Styela clava: one gene and its partner. The protein of the gene in region 2 interacts with the protein of the main gene of each other region in a pairwise test. Links are inferred from orthologs where the notes say so. Each region holds a gene or a part of one and is shown on either strand. Other genes may lie near its edges.

What was found.
Region 1: the proteins of major vault protein-like (region 2) and phospholipid scramblase 2-like interact in a two-hybrid assay, tested with the Homo sapiens proteins (2 studies listed by BioGRID and IntAct). The link is inferred for Styela clava from reciprocal best matches to the Homo sapiens genes MVP and PLSCR1.

The regions. Positions count from the first base shown.
Region 1 is NC_135257.1:8,201,072-8,216,790, reverse strand, and holds the start of phospholipid scramblase 2-like, read right to left. Parts: upstream 7,349-15,719; 5' UTR 7,269-7,348; coding exon 6,944-7,268; intron 5,865-6,943; coding exon 5,631-5,864; intron 3,012-5,630; coding exon 2,872-3,011; intron 2,367-2,871; coding exon 2,145-2,366; 3' UTR 2,141-2,144; intron 2,052-2,140; 3' UTR 1-2,051. UniProt on the Homo sapiens protein: Catalyzes calcium-induced ATP-independent rapid bidirectional and non-specific movement of phospholipids (lipid scrambling or lipid flip-flop) between the inner and outer leaflet of the plasma membrane resulting in collapse of the phospholipid asymmetry which leads to phosphatidylserine externalization on the cell surface.
Region 2 is NC_135260.1:15,797,503-15,813,564, forward strand, and holds major vault protein-like, read right to left. Parts: upstream 6,573-16,062; 5' UTR 6,530-6,572; coding exon 3,917-6,529; 3' UTR 3,380-3,916; downstream 1-3,379. Other genes in the region: aromatic-L-amino-acid decarboxylase-like, read right to left, coding at 11,429-11,638, 11,962-12,183, 12,684-12,774, 13,606-13,673, 14,089-14,183, 14,326-14,392, 14,682-14,800, 15,684-15,842. UniProt on the Homo sapiens protein: Required for normal vault structure. Vaults are multi-subunit structures that may act as scaffolds for proteins involved in signal transduction. Vaults may also play a role in nucleo-cytoplasmic transport.

The DNA of each region.
Region 1 (15,719 bases), on a different chromosome or scaffold from region 2:
GTTTTGTCCATCCAAGTTTGCTCTAAACCAGGGGTTCCAAAACCAGGGGTCGCGACCCCAAATTGGGTATGAGTGATAAGTAAGTAGAGTCGCAAACAGGTCACGGGGTCGCTGAGGTATGATAGAGGATGGATGTACAAAACATCTAAGATTTGACAAAGAATGTATAATTTAGCAGTTTGTACCATGGCTTTGTACCATGTAAAACAGGCCCATGGACATCGCTATCGCTGTTTGGTTTTAGCTCATTTTACTTAATATCACCACATAACCAAACTCAAAGTCGAGTGGAAGAAACTTATTGACCTGGGGTCGCACTGGACACTTAAAGGTTGTCGTTGGGGTCGTCCTGGAAAAAGCTTGGAAACCCCTGCTCTAAACAATGCTCTTCATGAGCAATTGCACATTGACTGCTATGCTCTAGATTTACAGAGTTCGCTAATGGGCATGATGGTAAATCTTGTGAGATAGAGTTAGGGATAAATGCCATTATGTCAATTAAAAATTCATGCAGTGATGTAACCACCCACCTCGCACTGTGTGATACATTGGCAAAAATCAAGGACACAAAAACAACTAGTAGGCCTACCTACCGGTAAATCAAATTTGAAATTGGTAATTACATTTTGACAGATAAAGAATGGAAATATAAATTTAAATGGATTGAGTGTTCTTGACTTCTTTAGAGGGCGGCAATATGAACATTTGTCCCATCCAACACCAGGTAAATCTTCGTTTCAAGCAAAATAGGCAACATAAACCATTTTCAACCCACCGCATTTCAACCCACCCACCAATCCAAGTTAGAAAATAAATGGATCAATGAAGATTACAACACCCATTTCAAGCACAAAGTTGTTTCTCTTCGACATATGTTTTCAAATGGAAAATGCAATCATTACTAATTGCATAATCCCACCATAATTCGTTACGTGGATTCCAGAAATGCATGACAATATATAATAGGTATGATTTTAAGTATACATATATGGATATATCCAAACAAACATTTTTACATTACTTGCAATATACATTTGATGGCCAATTTTGGTGTAAGTATCATGCATGCTTGTGTGAAGGTAATGGGGTCCAGTGGGCAATATGAATCAAACAAGTAATAATAGGTTATCAACACAATTTACAGTAACAAGCAACAGCATTTAAAATATAATTCATAGAACATATCAATGTTATTCGGTTATTAATCTTATCTACCAATGATAATCCATTTAGTGGATTTCAAAATTGTTTGTAGTAATCTTCTGCCTTCTTTGTGTGAAATATGGGTTGGACAAGTAAGAATAGGCTAATAATATACAGTAACATTAATAAATGCAATAAAAGTGTGAAAACATGCAAAATAATAGGTTTAGTTCCTGAGGACCAAATATTCCAATATACTAATAGATAATAGCATTATCAGGTTGTAACAGGACAAATTCCAATCTTTATTAAAAATCCTATTACTATTTAACAGCTAGTCCAAAATTGATATTCAGTTGAAATTTTACTGCAAGTCTACACATACTGCAAACCATTTTTTGATGTAAAAATATATACAGTGATATGTGCACAAGAATGCTATATACCAATAAACAGAACCAATTAAGCAGAGTGGTGATCCAATAAAGTCCGTTCCAAAAAACTTGAAAAAGTGTCAAACAATTCTACCATTGTATCTTAGTTGAAATATGTTTTAGTGAAAAAGCACACACATGAAATTGAGGCACATATATAGGTATTTTTCAGCATCTGTCTTCTGACAACTGAAACTTCTTTCAGTTCAAAATCAGCTATTTTATTAGTAGACTTATCGATACTAGATTCAGAAAAAATGATACATATTTCTGACGATGGGTAATAAATGTATAAAGAATCACATTGAATCGAGTTGCTTTCAATATTACAATATAATATTCCAGTAGATTTTTCAAAAACTCAACCATCTGAAAGTACTCTGAACTTACTTAACATAAAATTCACTACTAAGCATTGTCGACAAATGTATTCGACTTTTTTCAGATTTTCATGACTGAAGTTTAGCACAGACACTGTTAATTAAAAAAAAAGAGTTCTGTATTAAAAAACTATTCGTGATATGTACCTAGGATTCAAGATGCCAAATATCATGGATTATTACCTGCCTATTGCCAAACTCCAACTCTTTGGTTGTCTTGGTTGTTTGTCTGTTCAAAAAACATGAAATCAATGAGGAAGACTGCACCAAGTAAGCAAGCTTTCATTTTCACATCAAGATCCATTGGAAATTGAACTCCAAAGTTGTCAGCATCAGTAAAATATTCTTTTACGAGGCCAGACCACTGCTTTGAGATTTTTCCTATTTCACTGCCCTCCTTTGTTAGAACCTAATAAAGAGAAAGTTCTTCAAGTTGACAAAAATATAGTACGGTATATTACTATTAGGATTATATTGTTTCAAACATACACTTAATTAAGTATTAATATCTGATTAGTATCCCTCATAAGTCAGGAAACTTGTTTGAAATTTGATGGTAGGTTTGAGACAATCAGACAAGTATTGAAAAATCTTCTAAAATTCATTAAAGTTCTTTCATAGACTGATTTTCTGGTAACTAAAAATAACGCCATATCAACTTTTTGCTTTACAATATGCCATATTCATTGTACATTTATTATCGAATATTGGAAATGCACAAACTATAATAGGATTATTATAATCAACCCCAACTACATTAGTTGATTTAGCCAGTGAATAACTTTCTAATGTGCGAGTTAATACTAGAATATTAACTTGGTATCAAACAATGACTAGAACGATGTAAGCGGCATATAACTGTAAACAGATCATCTTCAAAGTGTGTGAATGTCTGAAAGTATGCGTAATTTTACCTTGAATTCAACGTCTCCACAGAAATTGCAAGTGAAACAAGGTCCTTCAATTTTTAATACAGTTTCACCCTGTTCATTTTTCACATCAAACTTCGGTAGGAATATATCCCAAGTCTGTTCAATAGAACCAATCACTGTGCCTGAAATAAATATTTTTGATAATGTGATACAATAGAAATGAAGAGAAACAATAAAACTGTGTTGACGTCCAAAATGAAAGAATAATAGAAGAACACTGTAGCAGTCAGAAAAGAGAATGTCATTGTTTAATCTGGAGAGTGGAGAGGTTGAAACTATTGGAACCATCAAAATTAACTACTAACAAGTATCAATTTCATGGAGTACAATTGCATTGCCATATCGAATGTCAAATACAATTTAATACTCCATATTCTCTAACCGCATGCATTGAAGATAACTTTTGTGACAAAGCATAGCAGTAACAATAATATAATTCATGAAGAGTATCATAATCAGACTGCAGAGAATTGCAGAAAACTACTGGGGCTAAAATAATACCAACAGCTACAGAAGTTCTTATAATCAGATTGAAAGAAATAAGAAGTTTTGGGACTGAATTATTTAAACACTTCTGGCAGCACAGAATGAAAGATAAATTTTTTATGAGCGGGCGAAACAAAATCCCAGATTGATATCCAGCAGTCCAATACACTACATACAGTGGTTTTTAGAGTAATAGGATTTTTACATTTACTTGATTTGCCAATATTATGTCACATACAAAAAATGGTTAACACACCGTGTTCGTGTAACTAAAACCACTGTGTAGCATTACAAAACACCAGTTGATGTATTTCCACCAGTATAGTATTAGGTTTATAATAAAACCATATCTTATATTCTATTGAAGGACATAGTATCCTGATTTTCTTAAGTAAGTAATGTTTATAACTTTGCGTTGATAACTGATCACACTGCTTTATTAGTGAAACATGTGCTTCGTATCACAGAGTCGGAGAAGGTCAGAAATTTTTGGGCATTATAAAATTATTTTATACATTGGAATAAGTAATAAAAATCACCTAAGAATTCAAAACAACAATCTCAAACTACATTCAAACAAATCGAAACTGTGTGACATGATATTCAGTTTGCGATCCGAGTCTTTTTATAATGTGCCAGGTACATCCGTATTTCCTCAAAGATACCGGTAATTATCATTTTTAAACACATTTTTTTCTTCAATAAACAATAGATCTTCCTCCAAGATCCATAAAATATTCATGACAAATTATAGTAAAAACGTGATAAAATAGGGAAGTAGACATATCAATTTTAAAATGTCCACGCCAAATGGTTTGAAATTCTTTTTTGCCAATCAGTTTTGAATTTAAATATTTTAAGTTGTGATGATACAGTATGACAAGTACAACTATATCATGGTATAGTATGATACATTGATACTATACCAATACCAATCTCATAAAATAAAAGTTAGGATGAGCCCATGTTTGCACAGTTTCAGCACCATGAAACACTACCATTACTACCAATATCATGGCATCTACCATACACGCAGAGCCCAAATCGAATAACTGTATATGATCATGATACTGCTTTTTGTGTATAGAAAAAGTTTTTATCACATTCGAGGCAGGATGAAGTGAAAGTACTGGTAATTCAACAGTCAGAATTGCATTATGTTTACCAAATTAATAAGAACTAGGAAAAATAATTGGGATTTGGGAATACAATACAACACGAAAAAGACAAATAAGTCGATTCAAAAGTTTTCAAAACGCTAAGCAATGTTAATATTTCATCATGTATCTTTTTAAAATAATGAATACTATATATGAAATTTGTCATAGCTTGTAAGATTTGCCAAAATTTAATTATCAAATCGACAAAATATAAAACAATAGGTCCTAACAAAGAAGAACAATACTGCAGCAACTTGAGGGTATTATTTAAAATTATACCACAAATCACAATAGATTAACATTTAAATGAGGGTGAAGGTACAGCTGTAAAATAATATTGTGATGAAATTATATAGGCAGTTGATCAATGTAGATGAATTGATCTATAAAAATACAACAATCCATATTCACTTTTATATTTATGACTCACTGTTGCATTGTTATTAAGTGAGTTCTAAACGACTTTTAATAGGATAATATGAGTATGAGTCACACAGCATTATATTGCACCAATATCACAATAGCGGTAAAAACTTAACAAGTAGGAATTACAATAGACATTTCAAACTGTTAAGTTAATATGGCAATATTTACTTAATATCACAGCGTTCATTTGAGCATTAGCCCAATAAGAATACAATATTGACAATTGACACCCAAGTCTTCAGGTGAATAGGCAAATACAAATGTTTCGTTGTTCTAGTTCAGTTGCCAGGTGGTGGTTATAAAAATTTCTATTAATGTTTCCACTGTTGCTATTCAACAATAATAGATTAGAATCTCATTTCATTAGTTGTATTCGCTATGTTATTGTAAAAAAGTTGTTTTAATAGGTAAGTTTCCACACAAAAAAACGAAACAAAACTTAAACTTGTAAGCCTATTATATAAATTGCCATGTTGTTATATAGATTGAACCAATTGGTTTTACATTGATACATTCAATACTGAATATTATTCGCTTGACTGTAATTATATCCAGACTACAAAATATTGTCCTCTGGTCATATTGAATATTTTTTCTGAGAGGAATTGAGTCATTGCATGATTTATGCCATAGTCTACTGGAATTAATTACAAAAATATACATATTTACCAGGCGGTGAAGTAATTGTCATCTGTTGAAGGCAACAAGGCGTCCAACATGAAGCACAGCGCAGTGGTCGTTCAAGATGCATCACTTCCTGTTGATGGTTGTCAAGAATTTTCATCTCAAAATTTCTACATGGTCCACAACACTGCCTTGTACAGCAATCACTCTGCTCAGCAGCAAAGTATACTTTCTGTCCAAGGCTGTTTTTGATCTCATATTTGTTTGCAGTTTCAAATCCTGTATCGAAAAAGGGGCTAAGCTAAAAACTTACGATGGAATATGGACATGCCATGTAGTATATTCGGCACCGCAACATTGGACAGTAATGTAGTCACATTTCTTTCACATAGTTACTAAAAAAGTCAATTTTATTCTGTATTCTTATGATTCAAAAAATTAATCGCACATTGTTTCTGTACAATCTGCAGTAATATATTTTGTAGGCATATTGAATGGCTTATCTGACTGTTTAGCATAACATTAGCATCAATTTTGTTATGAATTATTTACTTGAAAAATATGAATGATTTTGTCCTTGGAACCAGAAACGAAACAATTGATTTGAGATTTTCTAATACTTTCAATTGCAATTTCAATGAAATACCTATATATGAAAGATTTGAGAGTGTGTATAGAAAAAGTTTTTATCACATTCGAGGCAGGATGAAGTGAAAGTACTGGTAATTCAATAGTCAGAATTGCATTATGTTTACCAAATTAATAAGAACTAGGAAAAATAATTGGGAATACAATACAACATGAAAAAGACAAATAAGTCGATTCAAAAGTTTTCAAAACGCTGAGCAATGTTAATATTTCATCATGTATCTTTTTAAAATAATGAATACTATATATGAAATTTGTCATAGCTTGTAAGTTTTGCCAAAATTTGATTATCAAATCGACAAAATATAAAACAATATGTCCTAACAAAGAAGAACAATACTGCAGCAACTTGAAGGTATTATTTAAAATTATACCACAAATCACAATAGATTAACATTTAAATGAGGGTGAAGGTACAACTGTAACATTATATTGTGATGAAATTATATAGGCAGTTGATCAATGTAGATGAATTGATATATAAAAATACTAATCCGAGGGTATAATTTAGCAAATATATGTAAAACATCATACCAAATATTAAGCTTCAATTACCTGGGATAAAATTTTTCACGCTTTTATTTTACATTGATGAGTCAAAAATAAATCAATTTGTTGTTCATTCAAAATAAATAAATCTAAAAATTATCATATGAATAAATGAACAAACATATCTTTTATTGAAATATAATGTAATCTTTAATACAAACCTGTGAAAGCTTCCAACAATTCAACTTGCTGATGAACTAATATTTGATCAACTTGAGTTAAGTATTCCAATCCGGGCGGGCATCCTGGTACTCCAGTGGGTGCTTGCATCCATTGACCACCCGGAGGAGCACCACCTGGATGCTGCTGCGGGGCATAACCTTGCTGTGGGGGTGCGTAGCCTTGCTGAGGGGGTACAAAGCCTGGTTGAGGTGGTCCATATCCAGGTTGTGCATAACCTTGAGGAGGTGGATAGCCTCCCTGCTGTGGTGGTGGATAAGGTGCTCCACCTTGTGGTTGTCCAGGATAATATCCTTGCTGAGCCATGCAGTTTAGTTTATTGTACGATACAATATTAGAGGAGCTCTTGCTCAGAAAAAACGAAAAATTTATTAAAAATCCTGTTTAATAAAGCAAAACTTTTGTGACACTAGGGGAACTTTACTAAAAAGGGCTTTAGTGAAATTTGGAGAATTTATGCAGATTGGGGGTCTCGTGTAGTTTCGTACCTAACCTACTCCTAGTGGGCGTAGCATAACAATTTTTGATGGCAATTCTAACCCCCATCTGACTATGTCATCCAAAAATGACGTCACTACGATATTACAATCACGTCGAATATACGTACGATCGTCCGAAATGGCATCGGCCCCGACGATAAAGAACTGACTAACGTCATCGATCTCTCTCCTATTGGGATCATTGCAATGGGAAAACGAGAGAAATAGCTGTTCGATTTCGGGTGCTCGCCTGCGCGTCTTGGATGGCAGTTCGTATAGTTTAAAGGGCTCTATTGCGTCTAATTTTTAGATGGCGTAGTCAGGTGGGGGTTAGGATTGACAAGTGAATTAATTGTTATGCTACGCCCACTAGAAGTATGTTAGGTACGAAACTACATGAGACCCCAAATTGGTTTAAAAAACATCACACAGTCAGAAGATGCCAACTAAAAATGGAAACAAATTGATGGAAGAGTCGTAAGTAGGCACTTAGTCTATATCTTAGGATTTGCCAGTCTATTCTAGCAACAAAGATCGTTAGTGCATAGCATTGAATGTGCGACTCAAAAAACCATTCAAACAAAACATTGCTGAGGATAAAGCTAATCATGACAGAACAACATCAATCTGCTGATCTAGTAAAACTGCAACGCAAAAGATTTGAGCATCCTTAAGTTAAGGGAATATCTATAATAATATATTATATTCCAATAGATAATTACGATTTTGTATAAAACTTATTACATCCTTCTCTTATATTTTAAATAATGATTATGGTATTGGAGTTAATGTTTGCAAATTTGTTGTGATTTCATGTTGGCTAAACAACCCTAGTTTAGTAGTTATAGTCGGGTCTTACTACTGAATACAGCGCGAAACACCGCAAAGAGCGCGAAACACCGCAAAGAGCGCGAAACCAGCGCAAAACAGAGGGAAACAGCGCAAAACAGGAGACGTAGTCATTTCCACCTCCTGCCACGAAAGAACTACGGCGCCTCTCGCCATGGTTTTATGGCGGTATTTCCGGTATATTTACAAGGTTATGTACCGGATTATAGGTCATCATGCGAAATTTTATCTACCTTTTTGGTGCTCCAGAAGTATGTGCAGCAATATGTCGCACAACTTGAATCCGCTACACACACATACTATTTTCAGGTTGTGCGCCATCTTGGTGCACATACTTCTGGAGGTCCCTTTTTATCTAACCCTAACCCTAAAGCCAACCATATACATATGGAAAATGTTCTAAATTATGGTACCCAAAATGTGTCACCAGCAGGGGCAGACCTGCCATTACAGCATTTCTGGCTACATACGTTGGTTTGTGTTTTTAATTTGTTGCCGTGGTACTCCAACTCAAAACAAGGTGCCCCGAACTCATTGCAAAATTTTTTTCTGCTTCACACTGTTTCCCTCTGTTTTGCGCTCTTTCGCGCTGTTTTCTCACTGTTTTGCGCTGTTTCCCTCTGTTTTGCGCTCTTTGCGGTGTTTCGTGCTGTATTCAGTAAGTAGTAAGACTGGTTATAGTCTATTCTAGATAATTTGTTTGTTAGTTCTGCAGTTTGGTATCATTGATCATACCGGCTAGGGATGGGACGAGTCCGGCATTACAGAGATTCGACGAATCCGAGTAATAGGTCAAGGACTCGAATCTGCCGAGTCCGTGACGTCATAATGGAAAAGCAGAAAAACGTGTTTTTGACCATGCTACAGCAGCGAGCGCTCACAAACATACGTCGTAGCTCATATTTTTTGCCTAATGGTTCCGCAGATAGCTGTTGAATCATTTAAAATATATATTTTTTCTCTTTTTTGGCGGCCATAATACAAACGTAAACGTGGGTCAATGTGCGCCTTGGCTGTGAACTGGATTTGCGTCAATTCTGGGCGGCTATTCAGAAATTCTTACATGTCAATATGAAAAATAAAAAGCTTTCGACTACAATGCTTTCCCACAATTCCAGATATTTTTAGCCGTAAATTTACTATGTCATGTGCGTAATAGTAGAGAAATGCCACTCGTCGTCAATACAATGTGGTACATTTGCTTGCAATTTAGTAGTTCATGTAAACGTTCTAAAACTCTCCATGCTTTCCATTGCCTTTTCAGCGAAAGGATTGCACGCAATAAACTCGATTTAAAAGAGGTATTGATGAGATTCCACATTAGGTTGATCCAGAGCATGTTTCATTTTTACGCGAATCAAAAACTCACAAATATTGCAATAACACATATTTTATTGTGTACCACATGTATAGGATAGATAGTTTGAAGGCGACTGGCGCAACATCCATCATTGTTATAAGCGATTAATAGTTTTTAACTTGCGTTACCGGTATATTATCTGGATATCTGTCGTCATTTTATTAGGCGTGTTTATAATGCAAACGAGGGTTATTATTGTTACAGATCTAACCTGTAATTTTAACTAGTTGAGGTATGTAGTGGGATTTATAGAGGCAAAAGTACAAACATAGGTGTAAATTAGTAAAAACAGAATTGATTATGGACTCAGTAAAAATGACGTGGACTCGCCTGAAAAAATGCCTGGATTCGAATCGAATCCGAGTCCGGATCCGAATCCCGGCCCATCCCTAATACCGGCACGCCAATAACAATTTTAGTCGGGACCTTCCCAGACTGACGGAAGCACAGACAGACGCTCGCAAATCATTGACACGATAGTCCAATGGCGAATTGCTGCGATCGCGGTTCTAAGACACGGTAGAGCTAAACATAACCTGGCCACTGCGGAATCCACCATTTGAACCCACGTACCACTTCAGCGAAGCAAACTATCGCAAAGAAATAGTCTGGGTACCGGTACCGTACGGCAAATCACGTGAAAATACGGCAGATCGCTGCAGGAGAAAGTCGTCAATTCGCATAAATATTGTTATCGCTCAACTGCTGTGACGTTTTTAAACGATCACGTGCCGCCCATAAACATTTGCTCCCGGAGGGCTTTTTTATACGCTTTGGTTTATAAATAAAAAATTGTCTAACATAGAGTCGTCTAAACTCTAAACTAAACCTTTAAATATACAAAAAACGGACAACAAATAGGTAAATCAAAGCAGCAACAGTTGATCTAAATTAGATTTATGTCCAGAAAATCATGGGAATTATTTTGCTTGTCATCTTCAAAAGAACTTTTTCCAATGTCAATTTACACATATGCCTATGGTTTAAAGTTTAGAAAAACTAATACGACTAACTATATAAGTAATTTCAGATTGGCTAAAAGTAAAATTTCACGAGAAATCACTCACAAGAATAACTGACTTTGCTAAACGAAGATACTTTGGCGTATACCGGTACCTTCAGAAATAATGAATCGTAGTAGTATATATTTACGGTTGAATGTATCTTGATTATGGGCCGTACCGTAGCAATCGATCTTACGATGATATAACAAAGGGGTGTCTCAAAAATGTCCGTGTCCATTGTATCAATTGTTCCACACTGGTCCAGCTTGTCTATCACTTGTTGATCCGACGCTTGTCCTATTCGTACATCATTTTACCCACGTGTATCACTTGTCCCACAATTGATACCCCTATATCAATAAATGAATTTACCGAAATTCTAAAAACTCCACCCCGTATTCTTCAGAAGCAAAATATACCAATTTAAATTATTTGAACAATTTCTATGCAGCAACAACGAATCTAAGATCGTGATTTAGAAAAATCGCTGAGGTATGTGAACCCCCCAGATTTTTATCTGTGGGAATATTCGAAGAAACATGTGCATCAGAACATTCCTAAAACAATTGGTGAATTGAAAGATATTCTAGAAAGAACATATCTTCTGTTCAAAGCGTCCTGGATTTTTGAAATTTCGGGATACAATCATGTACAAACAGTTCAAGTGTAAACAAAATTAAATAAATTTTCTTCATTTTTGTAGAAGTAGGATAAGAAATGTATGGGTTCTGTATTTTGGGGTCACCCTGTATGATGAGACAACACGGGATAACGCTAGTTAGTAGTATATATTTACGCTCAAACTATAGTACATGTTACAGACAAATTTTCTTCGTTTTATTTTGTATATATTTGACCCGGGGTTATCTCGAGATATATTGGTCATTGCACTTTGTCGAATGACCGTTCACGAAATGACTCCCTTCAAGGCGATTTCACCATCTGTTCGTGGGCAGGAATAGACATGTCGGCGTATACAAAGTCTGTTATCGGCTTTTTATTTTTCTCTCGTTTTTGTTTGTTTATTATTTCGAATCATTGCCAGTCGGCCATTTACAATTTATTTCGTGTTAGCAGTTTGCCTTTAGGTAGTGCTAATTTATTTGCCGCAATGAGCGGATTTATTTGCTTGTTTTTTTGGATACATGACTGCTTTTGATTCGTATTGTATAATTAATTTAACGTTGCTATTGTTTTCGCTGTTTAAGAATTAAGTATGTAGTTAACATGCCTGTTGGGTTGGTCGTAAACTTTAGCAACCCTCAACAATTGATCATTCGTATTCTACAATGATCATTTCGACCTCAACAGTTGATCGTTGCGTCTCAACAATGATCATTTGACCTCAACATTACTTGATTTGGACCTCTACATTCTACAATACTGTGATCATTTGTGTCTCTAAAATACTGGAATTATTTCTGTATTTGTTCTTATCATCACACAATTTCGTCGTTCATTTATTCGTCTATATCGTACTTGTGCATGTAGACTGGTATTTTATCGACTGCATTATATTTCGTTCATATTCAAAGTTGTGGAGTTGTTAATTATCGAGAAACCTGGCAGGTTATACATAAAAGAAAGTTAATAGCGCGAAGTGTCACCGCCCAACACGTTATAGGCTTCTTGTAGAGCCTCACCATAAGCACTAAGTCGCTTTTAATCTACAGCAGTGGTTCCCAAACTTTTTGTACCATCGCCCCGCTACAGTAGTTTATACAACTTCATCGCCCCCCGGCACTGCAAAAAAAATTGAAAGTCTGAAACGAATATATTACAGACCAAATAAGAAGACAAATCATGTTTTATGGTGTTTTTTAATGAGATGGATGAGCTTGGTGTTCTTCAGCGAGTTTTTTATTATATCTAAAATTACCCCGTTTACTGATGGAAAGACGATTTCGTTGTTTTGATAGCAATAGCAGCTCGGCTGAAAACCCCTCTTTCACCATATCAGAGATCGGGAATGGAAGAATCCAGGGTTCTACCTCCTCAAAAACCACCGTGTACTCTTGCATTTAACTCCCTAAATTCACCCCATTTCACATTAAAATAATGAAAAAAATTTAATTTTCCAAAACGTATAATAATGATTTTCGTACATCTCATTGACCTTTACCTACATTACTCTACAGCCTGATGACCTTTACCAAAATACATGATATATAACGGTCTTCGGTAAAATTCATTCCCGATTCCTTATCCTACCACGTCCTCCAGTCCATAGAATTAATCAGCCGTTGGTTTTGGATTCGTGGACTCGGATGGCTCAGGGGTCGGCAACTTTTACGTCGCTCGCGGGACAAAATTTAGGGTTGCTATTCGTTTGCGGATCGCATATATTTTTTGAAAGTTAAAAACGGAACATCGTGCGAAAACTGCGACAATTCGTGAACTGAACTCAGTCGTCTTATTAAAAAATTATTACAATGATATTCAATGTGACACTGTCTAGTTGCTGCATCACGCTTGATAGCATCACGACGCCAAGATTGGAAGATTTTCTAAATGGGCATCACCTATCCTAGTTTTTGTATGTTCATTTTCGAAAATAATTGTTCGCACAAATATGTACTTCCAAACATCGAAGTGAATATTTTCGCATGATTTGTGAAATTTTGATAAGAATTATCTTTAAGAAGATACATTCTTACAAAAATCAAGCAGTGATGAATTTCTCGAATAGAATATGAATTTTTTTTCCTTATTGCATTGCAATATATTCGAATATTTACTGCGCTATTGAACCCCTGCACTCAGCATCAACTTTTCTGCGTGTTTCCATTTGTCTAATTATAATTAAATTGTAGGCTCGTTAAACGAGTAGCTGTTCAATATAATTTTTAGGATATATTAAAATTTAGTCTAAACGTGTCTCACGATAAATTCTGTTACGTAAAAAATGTAATTATTTTTTTTTTTTTTAGATATATTTTTTTAATAAAAAATGTAATTTACTCCTCGAACTTAGATAATAAATAAAATGAATTCATCGTTAAAACCGCCGTTTAGATGTTTCCCCTGGCATAGACTTCCTTGTTTACTTCGTGACATTGGCCAATCAGCAAGGTGCAAAAATAAACGTAACAATGTCCCCTTTCGCATCCACTCAGGCACATTCCTCACTCAGACAGACTTTCAGGCGTGGTCGTGAACATTACCTCATTTCCGCGATTTTGAATATGTCGTTTCGGTCGATCGTGCGTATATTTGGCAAGCTCTATGCCGTGATTGTGATGTCGTAGTGATTTAATTTTTGGATGGCGTAATCAGATGGGGGTTAGGATTGACATATCAAAAAATTGTTATGCTATGCCCACTAGAAGTCCGTTAGGTACGAAACTACACGAGACCCAAATTCTTTACCGGTACTTTCGAAAAACAGGTTGTTGAATGGTATGAACTAGAATGATAGTTTGAAACAAAAACTGTATTTTATAGGCAACAATTCGCGAAACCACTCTTAAAATAAGCACCGAAAATTTTAGAATGGTAAAGTATGGGAAGAAATTTCCGGGGTCAAAGGTCGGAGAAAGGTCCATTCAGTGAAGCGTCCCGGGCCAGATTACTACAGATTTCCCGACCACTGGGATACGCAAACTACCGTACCTTATTGCGAAGACGAGTCCAGCAATCCTTTCGCACGTGACTACGCCCCCGTTATTCAAACCTACGAAAGCACGCAGGGTACAGTAATCAAGTGCACGATGCGCCGAGCTAAAACAGGTTTCGCGAAATCGCCCCCCTCTGTATCGTTTTCGCCCACCGGGGGCGATATCGCCCACTTTGGGAATCACTGATCTACAGTACCTATCAATCAGTGGCGTAGCATCCACCCCCGCAACCCCCGCGGTCGCGGGAGGGCCCACAGCGGTTAGAATTTAGAAATGTGAGCCGCAAAACCTAAAGTTGCATTGCAAAACCAGTAATGCACATGTTATAACGTTGATGTTAGTTCTGCTCAAATCGTTTTGCTACGTAACAATGCCAGGGAGTTGTCGATTTTCGGCGTCTTGTGGTTTGATCGCACCGGCAAAATTACGAAGGCTGTCAGAATGATGTCGAAAGCAAAACTTCTCAGTGCCGCACAGAAACGCAGAAAAAGGGCAAAAGAGGAAGCACGTATCCAAAATATAAAAGTAACCAAGATAAACGGCAAATTTTATTACCATTGCCTTTTAATAGTGACATGTTATGCTTTTTGACGAAATAAAAAAAAGCGTTGTTTTAGATTATGTCCGAGATTTTTTAGGGTCATTTCCACAAAATATTTTTGCGGGAGGGGGGGGGGGGGGGGCACGAGAGTCTTCCTACGCCACTGATATCAATGCCAAAAGTTAGATCAGGGGTCGTGCCAAAATCAAGGCTTGCAAGTCATTGGCGGGACGCACATATTTTTAGAAAGTTCAAAACCGAACGGATGATACTTTATATAATAAAACTGATAGCAGTGATACATCTCTCGAATAGAATATACATTCATTTCCTCATTGCATTTCAATAAATTTCATTCGAATATTTCCGGCGACATTAAACACTTTGCACTTAGCATCAACTTTTCTGCGTTTTGTTGCCATTTGTCTAATTATAATTAAGTAAATTTTAAGCCCATTAAACTCGTAATTGTAAACTTTATACTTTTTAGATTCTAATATAATTTGGTCTATTCGTGTCTCACAGCAAATTCTGTTACGTGAAGAATATAATCGTCAAAACAACTGTTTTGTTACTATAATTCAGTGGAGCGTCGCGGGCCGGATTATATCATTCCGTGGGCCGGATCCGGCCCGCAGGTTGCCGACCCCTGACTTAGATTATCGATGCCAAAACTAAAATATACACGGAATCGGAACGTGTGACAAAGATTGTGTATTTACTAAGAACTGCACTCGCGTTTAACGATTTTATGTAATGTCCAATGTCTGAGGAAGTTCATGTTTTTTAACCTGTATCTCGTCGTTCACGTTTACAGTGGTATTAAATAATAACGAAAGACGTTTATTTCGAATTTGGCCTTGGTGCATTAGTTTTACATCAATTGTCTTAGTTTTTCACAAGCACT
Region 2 (16,062 bases):
GTCTCTACTAATTTGGACCAACTGACATCAGTAAAATTGGTTCCTTTCTCCTCTTCCTCACAAACGTGCATTACAAAAACGATCATTGTTTTCTGAATTAAATATTTTGTAGTCTAGCCTATACATTAGTATAAGCGTAAATATATACTACTACGGTATAAGTCTGCTGAATACTTGAGAATCGTGATTGGATTATTCATATTCATTATTCACGAGCATGAAAATCCCATATCGTTGTTTGTGGCATATCTTTCTAGGTCTAGCCTTTTTTAAAGTTACCGCACCGTTTCTATTTAACAACGTTATATGAGCTAGTGTTCAACTTAAATTGCTATCCATGGTAAGAATTTACAGGTGTTTATTAGCTTACTTATACTTTTTAACACCGTCTTAGCATAACTTAACTGATAATAACTAAATAAGACGATGGAAAGGCTATTCAACACAAGAGCGAGCAGTTCAAACTGAGATTCATCGGACCGCCACCAGCTCATAAAATTTTAATTGTTACGCCACGCAGAAGTCTGCGATCATTGACCAATGTTGCCGGAAACACGGAGAATACAGGACAGATGGTGGCAAATATTTCTTGTAGTAAAAGCGTCTTTTTCGTAAAACGGGCAACTTTTGGAAATTGGAACAAGGTATTATTTATTACTAAATTTCTACGAAACATTTTAAAATTATTTCCAAGTAGTTCTTTTATGTGCGCTACGAAACGGAAAGTTAACGGCCTCGTCTCGCGGCCTAAGTCGTCGTAAACGCGATGCGAGTACAAACGCACGCCGTACGCGCGTACAATGAGCGAGCCGTTGGCTGGACTATGTAGGTTGCGCTGAACGAGAGCCTGGCCCGAGCGCTAGTCGGCCTAGCCCTAGCAGAATTATGCCCCTCGCATAGTTATGCCCGGGTTTTAGGCACCACTGCAGGAGGTCGACAGGGCTCTTGTAGACGAAACGCATGGCGCTCTGCTCAGCATCGCCTGGCAAATGCGTGGATATTGCGGTCAGCGCAGGCGATGGGCTAGGCCGCATACGAAAGCCGCGTCGGCCGACCGCAGCTATCTGATTGATTCTGCCTAGAGTGATATGCTCGTCTCAATGATTAAGATAGGTAGATGTATAGCGACATCTAGGCCCGGGTCGCGTCGACCGTTGATAGGCCGAGTGGCGTGTTGACGCGTTTCGATTTTGGTACGTATTCCTGATTGATACTCGATACTTGATTGGTGTATATCTCGCGACACGCATCTCAACTGTAACAAACTACTGCCTCAAACTGGGTTAAGTCATCTCACTGTTTCATCGCTATTTTTATATTGTTTTATAATTGCCGCTTTATTTGATGAATACAATGCACAGCCAAAATTTTACACGTTTTAAATAGAGACTTGGAAGCTTACAGTCAAGGAACCGCAGTCTCGGCACGCGCCGAGTCATGAAAACACAATACCACGCCCCTACAGAGAGTTAGAGATACCTACGTGATCAAGATCCACTTCAACTATTATTATACCTTAAGTGTCGAAGAAGCCGCAAATCAAGGTTCCTAAAGATTTTATTACTGACGAATGGCTGATTTTAGACTTTTATATTAGCAACAGTTTCCTAGGTTTCGACACATTCGAAATGTTACAACCGACTCCGATCAGAGAGATTTATTTTTTCGTCAACCAAAATAAAATAACAGCCATCGTTATAAAAAAAATAACAACAAGTATTAAATTAGTTTGGTATAGACAGGAGGTAAAGATACGACCAGACGGTCATCAAAGTCAGCTCCAGGCCAAGTTGTATGCCGCCAACCATGGTATTATCAACAAGCTCTAAATCTCGTATTAGATAACACTATCGAAAATTTCTGCAATTTCCATATAGCACGTGTTCCTCAACCAATAATAGGAGCTGATTTTCGGTCAAAACATGATCTTTTGGTCAGCTTACGCAACTCACGCCTCTTCGACCCAAACTGCTAATATCTACATATACGGCAAGAAGTTCATTGACAAATCAATCGCAGCCAACTTCTTTTCACTCAGGCATCAGGGCCACTAGGCACATAGGTTGAAATAATTCGAAGATTTGAAAATCCCTCGACATGCATCAGTTAGGGCGAAATTCGTGAATTCTTGGATCAGCGGAAGGTGAACTACTGCGAAGTGAAGGAGCTAGTGTCTAACCTTGGCCGAAAGGTCAGAGTAACCCGTTGAACCACATTCGTGATTGTTTAATTAATTCCCTTGAATGAGGAATTCTCAGTAAGCGGTAATCTGCGTCCCTGCTCTTTGTACACACACCGCCTGTTGCGGTACTACCGGTACCAAACTTTGCTGTAAACTTTTTGCTTCTTTTCATGATGTAATGTTTGACTTTTTATCCTTTATGTATTAATTACTGTTGGACTTAATCATAGATGTCGCTGCTTGTAAACCAGTTTTGGTTTCTCGCGCCACCTTTTGCCCTGAAATGCCAAAAGTGTATTTTCTTTGCGTGCCGAGAATACGATAAAACTTAATTTGATTTTTAGAGGAAGTAAAATTTATAGCAAGGTTATTCCGCAAGTGAATCCGTGGAACGATCATTATCGAATGTAGGCGCCGTCGGCCGACCGCACTTGTCTTTAGGTGCCTTCTGCTTCGTTTGTCGGTGTTTTTGTGTAGTTTTGTGGTGACGTCTGCGCTTCGATGCCGGGTGAAACGTAGATGATGACTCTCAAAACTGATAATGCAAAAATGAGACACTTGCGGCCGTTAATATACAAGCCTGTATAAAGTCAGGAACGCACCGTAAACCATTGTACCCACGGGGCTCATTCACCAAAAACAGAGAACGGTTGATAATTCTCAGCGACATAGATAAAAAGTCGGAAGTGGGGCTTGTCATTTTCAAATACCTCACCATTCATTCGAATATTTTCAAATACTGAAGTTATGCAATTGTATCATTTGTATGCGATTTCTTTTATTTCGATGGGATCACTAACTTACCGAAAACGTACTCAGACAGTTCCCTGGGTGTTCAAACACAATAGGAAACACATTTCATCAATACCTCACGAGAAAGAGTCACCTGTCAGAAGTGGCTTCAATAAAAAAAATGGGGGGGGGGGGGGGGGGGTTCATCTAAAATTTAGATTCTATACCACTGACGGGCGACAAAAACTGGATAGCGCCAATTCGAAATTTTTGTTCAAGTCGATTCGAAATGCCCATCCTCTTCAGGGGTATATGTTGGAATGTAGACATCAACCCGCATCGACCTTGCTTCATCATCTTATGTTATCTGGCGATCAATCACATGATAATTGAATAGAAATGAACGTCCGACCTGCATCTCATTAAAGTTGCAATATAATAAGTTCACCTTCTGATAACACTCTCTACAATCTGGACTAGACATTTTAATTTTTATCAGTATATGAAATAAAAATTCCAACAGATTTTCATCAGTTAAAAGTAACTCATGATGATACTATTGGTATTTCGAGCTATGTCACTTCCGAATTTTTTTCAGTGAGATAATTATGTTTAACTTTGGACAAGCACAATACAATAAACACACTTGAATATTTATTATCTACAACATAACCTATATCGGTTGAGAATAAATGTGCTAAAGAGTAACTAGTATAATAGAACTTGTATACAAATTAAGTTGAAAACAGGTTCTAATCTAGATGGGCACATTCAAGCTGTGCTTTGCCTGTCGTGTCGTGCATAGAAAATATACATTGTGGAAAGGGTTAAGATAGATAGGTCACCGTTACATGATCGAAATAAGAAACTAAAAATGAACAAAGTAACATCTTATTTAATAGTGCACTGTTGATTAAAATTGTTGATACGTCATACATGGGAGAGATTATGTGTTTGAAGCTACAGTAATATTTGACAACTACTATTCAACTGTATTGGAAATCACTCGTCATCATCTTCATCTTGTCGTGTTCTCACAACAGCAGAAGACTGAAAACCTTGACTGCCAATCAAACCATGAGCAGTGTTGAAAAGATTTATTGGAGAATTTCCATCGGTTATCAGAGTTGATGTTAAACCGAGGGCCTTCAGCATTTTCACTTGCATATCTGGTCCGGCAGAAGCAATTTTGCAAATAGTATCCGGTCCGATGGTTTCAACCATATTTTTGAATTTTTCTGTCTCGATATCACCTAACTGCTTCTGTTTCTTTACTTCCAATTCGTCCTGCTCACGAGAATATTTCAGTTCTGCATCACGGGCTGCGGTCAAGCGCTCTAACTCAGATGTTGAATCGATTCGTGCTGCCTCTGCTTTGAGTTTTGCTTGGTCTACAGCAGCTTGACCTTCAATTCGAGCAGCTTCTGCTCTTGATTGTGCTTCTGCCTTAGCTTGCCCTGTGCTTTCAATTGCAGCACTCAATGATTGAAGTTCCAGAAGATCTCTTCTGGACCGTTCAGCCTCTGCTTCATCAGTAATCTTTTGACGTTCAAGTCTGCCTCTTGCTTCCTGCTCTGCCCTTTCTGCTTCATGACGTGCAGTCGCTTCCTGGGAGTTTGTTGTGATTTCAATAGCAAGTTGAACAGATTTCACCAGAGCATCTCGGGTTCTTTGGTCCACAGGTTCAACGGACTGGATATCGATAGAAGTTATAGTCAGCCCATTTTGTGGGAAAACGAACTTGTCACGAACTTTTCCTTTTTCATCTACGCCAAATACAGAAGACCTAATGATACGAGATGAATTCTTATGAAAATCATCGAAAGTGACAGAAGCAACAGCCCCTCTTACACGAGATGCAATTGCCTTGCAACAATCTCCCACAAAATCAGGTACACTGAATAATTTTGCAGCATCTTTCTGGTCTTTTCGGGCATTGTCTGTATCAAAATACCAATTATATGCAAGTTGCAATGAGAGACGTGCATGGTCAGCAGTTTCAATGGTAATGACATCAGTACAAAAATCTGGTCCAAGAAGCAACGCAAGCGACCTAATGACATTCGGACGTTTTGGTTTTCCACCCGAGAGCGACAATTGCGTGAATTGCTCATCAGGATTGAGCATCACAAGCTCAGGTCCGAATATCACTCGTGCTTTCTTTTCCTTGTAATCATAAATTTGTACACAAGCATTATGAGGAACTCTATAAGAAACTACTCTTGTTTTATCACGACGTAATTGAGAGGGGCCTTTGTTTCCTTTCTCCCACATCCCTCTGTCAGCCGAAGGATCGATAGCTGATGTCACTAGTGCCTCAACATTGGGAGGAAGCTCTTTCTCCCAAAGTTCTTCATCATGGGTCAACATGTAAGTGCGGCCACAAACAGCTCGAACTTTACCAGTTTTTAGGTCACGTATGTATATACCTTCATTTTCATCGAGAGAAATTGCACTTCTTTTAGCAAATACATTGACCTCAACGGATGGAACATATTCGGTGGGTCCTCGGATCATCCACTTGTCTCCTGGCTTGCGCTGTATTTCATTGCTATCATCAAAATGAGCTTCTTTTGCTTGTAATATAAGGCCCTGATCTTCTCCAAGCACATAAACATCCTGAATGCCTTTCTCTAATTTTTCACCAGGTTGAAGGAAAAAAGATGCTTCTCCTTTCACAAGTTTGCGCTTGCCAAGTTGGTTCTTTCCATCATCTTCTGAAACTGGGTCAACTATCACACAATATTGTCTACTGTTCAAAGTAGTTATATCAACAACACCTAAGACTTCTTCATGAACATCTGGAATATGAGATTCCGTGTCCGACATACGAATTAACCATTCTTCTCCATTCTTTCGTTTCACATTCAAAAAGTCTGTGAAGGTACGACTCGCTTTCATATGCAAAGCTTTCTTTTCAGTAAGAACATATGCCTCCACAAGTTCGACAACTTCTTCATAGGTTCCGGGTAAATATGCTCCAACTTTTTTAATTATCCACTCCTCCCCAGTCACACGCTCAGTGCCATCCCGATCAACTGTTTCTTTTCTCGCACGCAATTTTATTGCTTGATTTTTGCGAATCACTGTGGCTCTGATAGTCTCCTCTACCAGAACCTCTTTGCGTGGAATGTAGGTACCTGGTCCTTCAAATAACCATTCGTCACCAGCCACTCTCTTAACATCACCGTCAGTAAAATCAAGTTCCGCTCTCATACGCAACGCAGAATTTGCAGGGACAATACGCAGTGCACAAACAGCAGATTTTAAAATTTCACCAGGATAAAGTGGGAAGGGATCCTGAGCCAAACGAATCTCTCTATCAGCATAGCTGAGCTTTGCCTGACCAGACTGGTCATACTGAACTTCACCTTCTTTATTTCTTACAACAGGATTTTCTATGGTGCAATAATGACGAGGTGGAATCGTAATCATACGCTCCGGTCCATATATGACTCTTTCATTATCTTGCCGAATGTAGGTTTTAGGCCCAAGCTCCAACTTTGTTACATTGGTGTTCTGGTCCAAAACATGGATGTAGAAATAAGGCGGAATTCTGTAAAGTGCTTCATCCTGGCCGGACATGTTAGCAAATGAAGGTGCTTTCTTACTCATTTTGAGTTTTACAAATACCTATACAGACTGTAAATATATATAAGGATTAAAGATACAGTATTTTCAATTTTTGTTTGGTAAATTGGTACCAATCTTTTAATTTACTTAGCGAGACATCTATGACTAATTTTAACGTTTTCCTTTGCTATTTATTACATATATGAAAATATGTTGGAAACAGAAAACAATAATATAACATCAGAAAATCACTACGGCTGTACGGCGCTAAAAGCAAACAAAATACCAGATTCTCAGTACATGAATTCACTTTGATAGCATGAAAACTTATATTACTGTATTACTAAATTGGATAAGGGTGATACAATAAAATCGGGGTCTTTGGAAGTTTTTTTAGAATCATGACATGAAAATTAATGCAATTATTTGTGTTCTGCTTCACTGTGTTCTGAAGAAATTCCAGAACAAAAATTGCCTCATCTCAGCTAAGGTGGTGTGAACCTGATTTGCCAAAGTCAGATAGTTGCATGCTGATAAAGTACAAGTAGTATACAGATTTAAAAATTAAATGATATACATCTGTGTGAGATAATGTGAATTGCATCAACATTGACTAATAAAGGTTTATTCTTTCCAAAAGCAAAGCACAATTAATACAGTAATTTCATTGAGAAAAAATCATCCTGTTACTTGTCAAGGAGCATCTATATTTATTTTTGTTCTTTTTTTATGCACAAACATGTGTTTACGCAAAAACAAAACTATTTCCTAAAAAAGCCAATCAACAGACAAACCAATGTTTTCTCATAAACCATTTCTCTTCATTCTCACATCTGAATTAACAGAAGTTTTGCAAATATTGTTTCCAGGTAACTAAACTCTTTTCATTTAATTTTTAATTAAATGAAAACTACTGTTATTGCTGTATTGCTTGCAGTTTAACAACTGAACAACATGAATTGAACAGAATTATAATCATATCATTTTGATTGATTGAAGTTGATTTCATTTTTTCAAGTATTCGCTTACAACATGAACACCGGCCACAGTTTGCCTCAAGTATTCTTTTTTAGGAAGCACTGTATCACAATTCTGATGATTTGTTTCACCATTCTGGAATCAAGTTCTATTAAGTGGTCTAGTGACTAGTCCACATCTTCCTGCACCTAACTTCGATTTGACTTCATGTAACTACTGAACTATACCGGTAACCACAGAATCAGCTTTGATATCTTTTTTGATAAATATTTTTCTTTACCGTTCACAAAATCTATATTTACTGATTTAATTTGGCAATGATTATAAAATTATTAATATGGTGTGACAAAGAACTTTTATCATTTAGTTTTTTATTAATTTACTACAGTACAGCAGTACCGGTACCACTGTACCATGTAATTTATTCAAGGTTTTTGTGTATTACTTCCTTATATCTCTCTGTTTGTGAGTGTGAATTAATTTAAGACTTTTCCGGTGAGTGAACACGTACCGTTACGGTACGGTACCACTTCTTTTGGCAAAACCTTCCAACTTAAATCTGTACGCTAAAAACCTTACTCAAAGTATTGTTTGCCCCTCTGATTCTATAATCCTGTAATCAGTTTTTACTTTTTTTTGGTAACCATTTTATCGTCTGTTATGCTGATTATGGATTCGAAATAAACTCGTATTTATTATTATACACAGCATTATCAGAACAAATATAAAATTAATAATAATTAAGACTATAAAACGTTACACACACAATAACAAATGGCGAACGTTTGACAGCCATTTAACGTTGCGAACCGTTACTGTTACAATAATAAGCTTCATGAGCAGAGAATAATAAAAGTCGAACGCGCAATTTATGCCAAGCGCACACTCAATGGAAATAGGATATTATTCAGGCGAAATTGCTACGTGTGTGCGCTTTCATAAAACGAGGTTATTCATTGCACCATTGTGATGCGACCCACGAAAGGGTATTACCGTTTCTTGCGCACACAGTAAACAAAAGAAACATCCAAACAAGTTCCTGTAGCAAATATCTATTTGTGATCAAGTATGAGAAGAGCTACGTTTGGTCATTTGAAAAGTTTTAACTCCAGTCAATGCAATCTACTTCAATTAAAAATTTGGACCATTCAATTGACAACTTCGCAGTTAGTAGCGGGATATAATATAACCACGTGAGGAACACCGTATTTACTTTATTCTTTGACGTTAACGTTAATATTTACGAATTCAATACGTTTTCCTTAGGTTTTATCGCAGAAACATCTGTCGCCCGTACTAAACAATCGATAAAACCATAATCGATAAACCCAACTTAACTAAAAACTCAACCAATCGACTATAATATGTGTTCTTTACATTATATCTCAACAAGGTGGCCCAGCACACTTTACAGCTGTCGTAATGTTGGTAAATCTAAATTGAACGGAATTCGGAATTACGCATGAAGTTAGTTACATCCACCCACTGGAGTTTACCAAACACTTCGACAAGCAACGTCATATCCTTCCTTTGTATATTACGTGTGATCTCAGTCATTTTAGTATTAAGCCAACCCCATATACTGAAGTGGCACCATAGTTAGTGCCACTATGGTATGCGATTGAGATCACGCAAAGCACGTGAGATCACATACCAAAGTAGTTTTCGACGCTGGGATATCATAACAAAGTGGTACCCAAGACTGTTAGTTTACTAATCATGAATGTAAAAATTAGCCGTTTTATCCATTGTTATTTTTCCCTTCCAAATATCATTTCAGAAAATTAACTTATTCTCGTTTTAAATTACTAGATTCAATGCTTCCAGATGATATTGGAATTTTTCCTTTAGTGCAACAATATTCACAGCGAAATCAATTGCACTGTAGCGAGTGCACAGTGGTTACTACGGATTTTAATGATATTTAACCACTTTGTCTTATTTATATGTTAAAATGTGAAGAAATTATGCCGTTACACACTGTTTTCTTTTGGTGATTTACACGCTTTCAAGCAAGCATTCCTTGTATGACACCTGCGTGCTGCGATATTTTAGTAGGCTATTACAGTATATAGGCTGTATAGTAAAAGGGTGATTTTCTGTTACAAATATATATATATATATATATTTAAGCACTAACGATCAAGACTGGTTGTACAGCGAGGGTGTCATGGGGAGATTTATATTCAAGTCGATAGCACGTAGTGAACTTGTATTGGATGCCATGGGTACTGGTGTTATTCACTACGAGATGAAAAACCAGTGCATCGTCGCGTATTCGCAATCATGAATCCCCACTTCCCCAGTGGTTTTATTTAGTTTTCCACAAAGCATGGAACCCCGTGTTGCCCATCAAGGTTTTGAGCCAATATGTCTCGTTTTTCTCAAAGTAGCATTCAGATGTCAAGACCTACTGCTCCAAATATGTGAGTAGGCCTAACTGTTTCGACCCTGTCAATGTCTCGTTTCACACTTTTGGTTTTGTGTTTTTTAGGCCTAACCTGTACATTTCGTACCAATTTGTGCATTGGTGTCGTCGATTTCCCATCCTAAGTCGTTTCCAGGATTAGAGATATGTTTTCATCTCCTTCATTTACAGGATTTCAACCCCCCGTCATCATATAGACAAAGGTTTTCGGTCTCACCAAAAATACTTCCTAACCTGCTTCTTGCATATCAATGACTGCTAATAAGAGCCTTCTTGAAATGAAAGCTTCAATAAACAAAAAAACGGATTTTTGGCAAACTGAATACTTATAAGAGAGCATTTAAGCAATATGATGGAAAAATATTTACACGAATGAATTACATATATATAGAATATATATATAGCTTTTTTATGATGCGTTAGAATATATTTATTTTTTCAATTTGATTATTATTAAATTATTAATTTATAGGATTAAATGCGAATAACAATTTTTCTAGCACAATCACAATCGGAGCTGTTTTACTGCTACAAAGCACAAAGCATTGATGTTTCACTTATGTCAATTTTAGTTTTAGTCATTAGTTTCATTAAAACTTCTTCATGGATGATTGAATACCACTTTACAAATACAGTCGCTTAGTTGTAATACTTAAAATGAAATTTTTAAATATATATATACCACTTTTTTAAATTTGCAAATCCTTCGTAGCGAGTAAATAAAGAAAGTTAGGCCTGCTGTGTATTTCAATACCTTTCATCATCTATTGTTAACAGTGCATGTTATTTGCCTGAATCAAGGTCGTTTCCCCAATTCAATATCTTTATGATATATTTGTGCAACATTTTATGCGCAAAAGTTGATTACGTATTTTCCCTCGCTCGAGTGTTGCTTGTCTTTGTTTTATGGTTTTTAGTTAGTTACAAGTTTGGTTTCATCACATATACTTGCGTTAACGTTTCAAGCTTATTTTGTTATCTGTTATTTGGATTTATTCGATTGTCCAACCTTCTAGAATATACAATCTATTGTGTTTTTATTGATCTCTGAAAGAGTTCAGATATGATTTGCTCCGCTAAAGTACCTTAAATAGTAGCCTACTGGGGTAAGGACACTCAGATGGGAACATTTTTATATAGCATATATATTTTCATTATATTGGTGAATGAAAAATAAAGTTAATGTATCATTGCAGTAATTGTATATGAAAGAATTCTAAATTTTGAATATATGTATATATATATTGAGAGTTAACCTTGAAATATTACCCTATAATTTCTTTTTAAATACAATACATATTACACTTTAAATTAGTTTTCACATATTTTGAATGTACGTCGTCTCGCACTGCATTCGTGACCTAAATCAATTTTAGCGGTCTGCCTAGCGTATGTCGAATGATGGAATAGTACTGATACGTTTTGAGTATAGGGCTAGATTGTATTTTTGTCACTGTATCTTATGTTTATTTTTTCCTTTATTGATGGTCCCAAATTTTGAAGTAATTATCAGTAACTTCAATCTTTTATTTTACTTAGTTATTACTGGGATCTATTTGATCGAATAGTGAATTAGTATGTCTTTTTATTACTTCCCAGCAATTCTTCACCGCATTCTCGTCACATGCTATAACTCCCACTGACACACGAAGAAAATAGATTCCTTCAACTTCCGACGATATGAAATGAATTTCTCTGGAATCGTTTATCTGTCTCAAAAGACGATCGTTGATATCTCTGTTTTTCTGTTAATCAAAAATATAGCAAAGTTTACTACTTTTTCAATTGTAAATATATTTACCTATAGCATCTGCGCAAGGTAAATCAAAACGCTATTACGCCTCATACAATTCAGAACAACGTATGGCCTCTTCCACACATACAAACTTTATATTTGCTCTAGATTCATTACAAGCCAGAAACAAAGCATACATAACTCCACAAACATTTTCCAATGTGATTTGTACTATTCGAAATAATTATTATCTCTTGTGAAAAATGGTATCAACAAATCACATTCTCACATACGACAATCTCCCTTCCTAATCATAATGAATTATCGAGATACCTTTCTGTCATTTTTGTATAGTTTGAGTCGAAAACAAACCAGTCCAAGTTCAACGGAAAATACAATTTCAAATCTTTTGTCTTCTAACACATAAGATTCAAACATTTTCGCCAACGCTACGTCTTCTCTGATTTTATGTCTCAGTCCTTCGATACCGATAAGTCGAAAAACAAACCAAAGTTTCAATGCACGAAATTTTCTGCCTAGAGGAATTTGACAATGCTGGAAGAAACAAAACTTTGTGATAGTCATATCCGTGAATTTAACGCAAAAGTTTTTTTGCAACATTTGCCACGAATTTCGAAGCTCCCGCAGTATGTACACCAAGATGGCGCACAGCCTGAACATAGTATGTGTACCAGGTTAGGTAGGTTTCAGGTTGTCCGCCATCTTGGTGTACATACCACCAAATTTGTACGTGAAAGCATATGAACCTGTACATGTGTTTCATCTGTAAACTAGGGGGTAATTTGAAAGAGTCAAGAACTTTTCGGTTGTGCTAAATAAGTTGGATTTTTAGTATGATGTACATCTATATCTGATAAAAATTGCACAGTCAAGCCATTTATATACAGAAAAATTGATATATGTAAACAATACAAAAATGTGTTAGTATATATATATATTCGACCCCGAGATAGATAAATGTATTCAATATTTCTTTGATTGGTTTACATTCATTGTGAAATTGATTTGTTAACAAATTAAGTTAAGCAGCTTACCCTGTAGTCAATTGCAACGTTTTCCTCGTCGTGGCGTAAATATAATGGATTGAGTTTGAATGAATTGATTAAATCCAAACTATTTTTGACCCTGAAATACGTGTTAAACAGTTATTGAATTCATTGGAAAATAAACGTAAAACCTCTTTATTGTACGTTTTTTGAGTATCTCAAAAATGTTGAATCTCACTTTTTCCGCATGCCCCACCTGTTTGACGCTTGTCTCAGTCGTATCATTTGTCACTCGTTCCCCACGTGTCTCACATGCCCCCCTTGTATCATTTGTTCCACCAGTCAGTCATACACCACACACAAGTCACACAAAAAAGACAAGTGCGGGCCACGTAGGACAAGTTCAACACATGGAATTCGACATTTTGAGACAACATCGATTTTAGGGAATATTTACCCTCGTTATACTCATATAGTTACCCTTGTGTGTTCAACAATAGCATAATATATAAGATTTTACATTGGCAGTTGGCACACGCATTTGCTCATAGTCAACTACCATTTCGCAATAAATAAAATTATATTACTTGCTGACTTTGCTAATTATTACATCAAGTTAGAAAAATCTAAATCGCCCAAACATTCCAACTATATATAAGACCAACAACTTGCTCAACATAGAAATTGTTGGTTCCCGAAACAAAAAAGATTTAGGATTTGTATATCCATTAGGCTTCTAAGGGACGAACTCATTATAGTCCTTCTATGGTTTTGCGCTAGTGGATTCGTATACAAGCAAAAGTAAAGACACCCGCTACCAATGATGATCCTCGTTGGGCTTGACGGAATTTATTTAAATTTATACAATATTACTGAAATTAAACAGCCTTATCGGCCTTAAAGAATAATTTTCCAGCACTATACAAATATAGAAACCGATCGGCCACAGTTTTTCATAATATAAACTTACCAAAGTGGTGAGAAGTCGAAATTCACCATCAGCCATTTGTGTGGATTGAAATTGTAAGAGGTAACCATCTGACCGAAAGCAATTGGCATGTTATAGTATTGATTTCATAATAGAATGTTTTAGAAAGGGCAACATACGTAATTTAGAAATACGACGTACGAATCAAATATGCCGTTTTTAAACATTCACTCGTCGCAATCGAAAGGGGAGGCGGAAGGAATGTAGGAGAAACGTAGTAGTGGAATGTTAAAAAATAAAGCCAATTTGAAGTTAAAATTTAGTGCTAAATTATGAGAAAATATGAAACGATGTAAAATGGCTTTTTAACGGACATTTCCATTTTTATCTATTGAAGGGGTGAAACAATTGCTCCAACAGTCAAAAAAATATTTTGATCTTGTTTATTGTCACTAATATTTTGAGTCCGAGTTAATAAATCTGGTTATTCATGCTAAGTAAATTCAGTGTATTATGTATTCCCACCTCAATTCCTTTCATTCGATGTCGAAATTCGGGACAAATGAAACTGCATCCGGCGTATGCTGCATCAACATGAAGCCATACATCCTCTTTGTTACCTGAATGTAAGAAATTGAAATCGGTTCCTCTGATCTTTTTCGTTAAAATTTTAGGTTGCTCACAAAAGTGCATAGCAATTATAAAAAAAGTGATTCATTGACATTTTAAATTGTCATACTCAAATTACCGCCATCAACTTACAAACTTCTCCGATTTCTTGAAGATTGTCAAATGAACAACAGGCCGTTGTACCAAGGGTTGCACAAACCTGAGTTAAAAAGAAGACGGTTTTAAAACATATTTCATTCACTACAAATATAACCATGCGAATTGCGTATATTTCAGTTCGAGATTCAATTTGCATTAATTTATTATGAGCGTACAACAGCATTTCTCACTCTTTGTCGCGGTCAATTTTACTGATTGTGAACGTATTTGTCCATAAATAATAGGTGTATTTTAGTCAATTTTCAGAATATATCTCTAGATTGTGATAAAGCATGTTCGACTGAAAAATTTATTCAATATTTCTGTGAGTAATAATATTTAAAACTCACATAAAATGGTATTCTTCCATCATCTTTGTCTTTTTCCATTGCCTTTTTTAATGCTTCTCCTCTAACTGCAATATCCTTATCAACAGTCACTTTATGTAAATGCACCATTGCTATGAGACCTGTGAAAACTTACAATTATTATTTTATTCATTTCGCCTTGAGATTTTTGGTTTTCAAAAAAAATGCGCTATGCTCCAAAGTGGGCAAGTTTGTCCACAATAAGCATTCTTGTAAGTCAGATGTAAATATTAAAATTATATCTTCGTGTTGAATATTTTGAAATCTACAGTGCAGTGCACTTTTGTAGATACTAGCACTTCAGATAAAGATATAAAAATATAATATTCATAAAAGAGCAAGTTCGTTACGTTAAACTTAATTTTGTATGCTTCAAAATTGTTCTGAACGCAGCCGTCTTGATTTTGAAGTAATTGGAAACTGGGCCATCTTATGTTATAAGTCTGTGTAAACTATCATAACGATATCTCGGGGAAATATTCGTTGGTGTAAATGTTACAAAATTGGCCGCTTCCGTAGTATGTGAACCAAGATGGCGGACACCGGAACGTAGTATGTTTACCAGGTTAGGGTTAGGCCATAATTCTATTTCAATTTTCCTTATTTTAGTTCTATTACGAGTTCGGGAACTAGCCAAGTGACTCCCGTAGTATTTGTACCTGAAATTTGGCCTAACCCTAACCTGAAAGGCATACTACGTTCCGGGTCCGCCATCTTGGTTCACATACCACGGGAGTACCAAAAATGCAATATACTGATTTGCAATTAACTTTAAGCAATTCACTTTCGCTTACAGTCGAATGATGGAATGTGGCCTTGAATCGATTCATTTAAAAGTGGTAGTTTCATTCGAAGTCTTTGCTTTTAATAACTGGGGCCAAGTTCAGTTTCATATCATCATGTAAAGCACTTGTTTAATTCGGGAGATCGCATGCATTTGCCGCCACCTCGGAAACCACGCTATTGATTATGCATAAAACTCACATGCTCTTTCTACCGATGAATGACTATATTCTGATGTGTATGCAACAAGTTTTGAGGCAAGCTCATGTTGTGAAATGTTAGGATATATAGCTTCCAATTTTTTCAGTGTTTTTGTCCTTGCTGCCAGAATTGTCATAATGGTTGCTTCGCTAGCGGTACCTGAAAAAAAATTGACAGATATATTTTCATTGAGAGAATTTATTTCAAATAACCGGTAAAGGAAATATTAGATTGGTTTTAAAGAATCAAAAATCACTCAGCTAATTGGTCTCACTATTCAACAATGGAATAAATGTGGTACAAAATAAATATTTCCAAGAAATCTTGAATAAAGCTTAGGTCTTCGTTTAAACCTGACTAATCTCGTAACGTGTCGTCA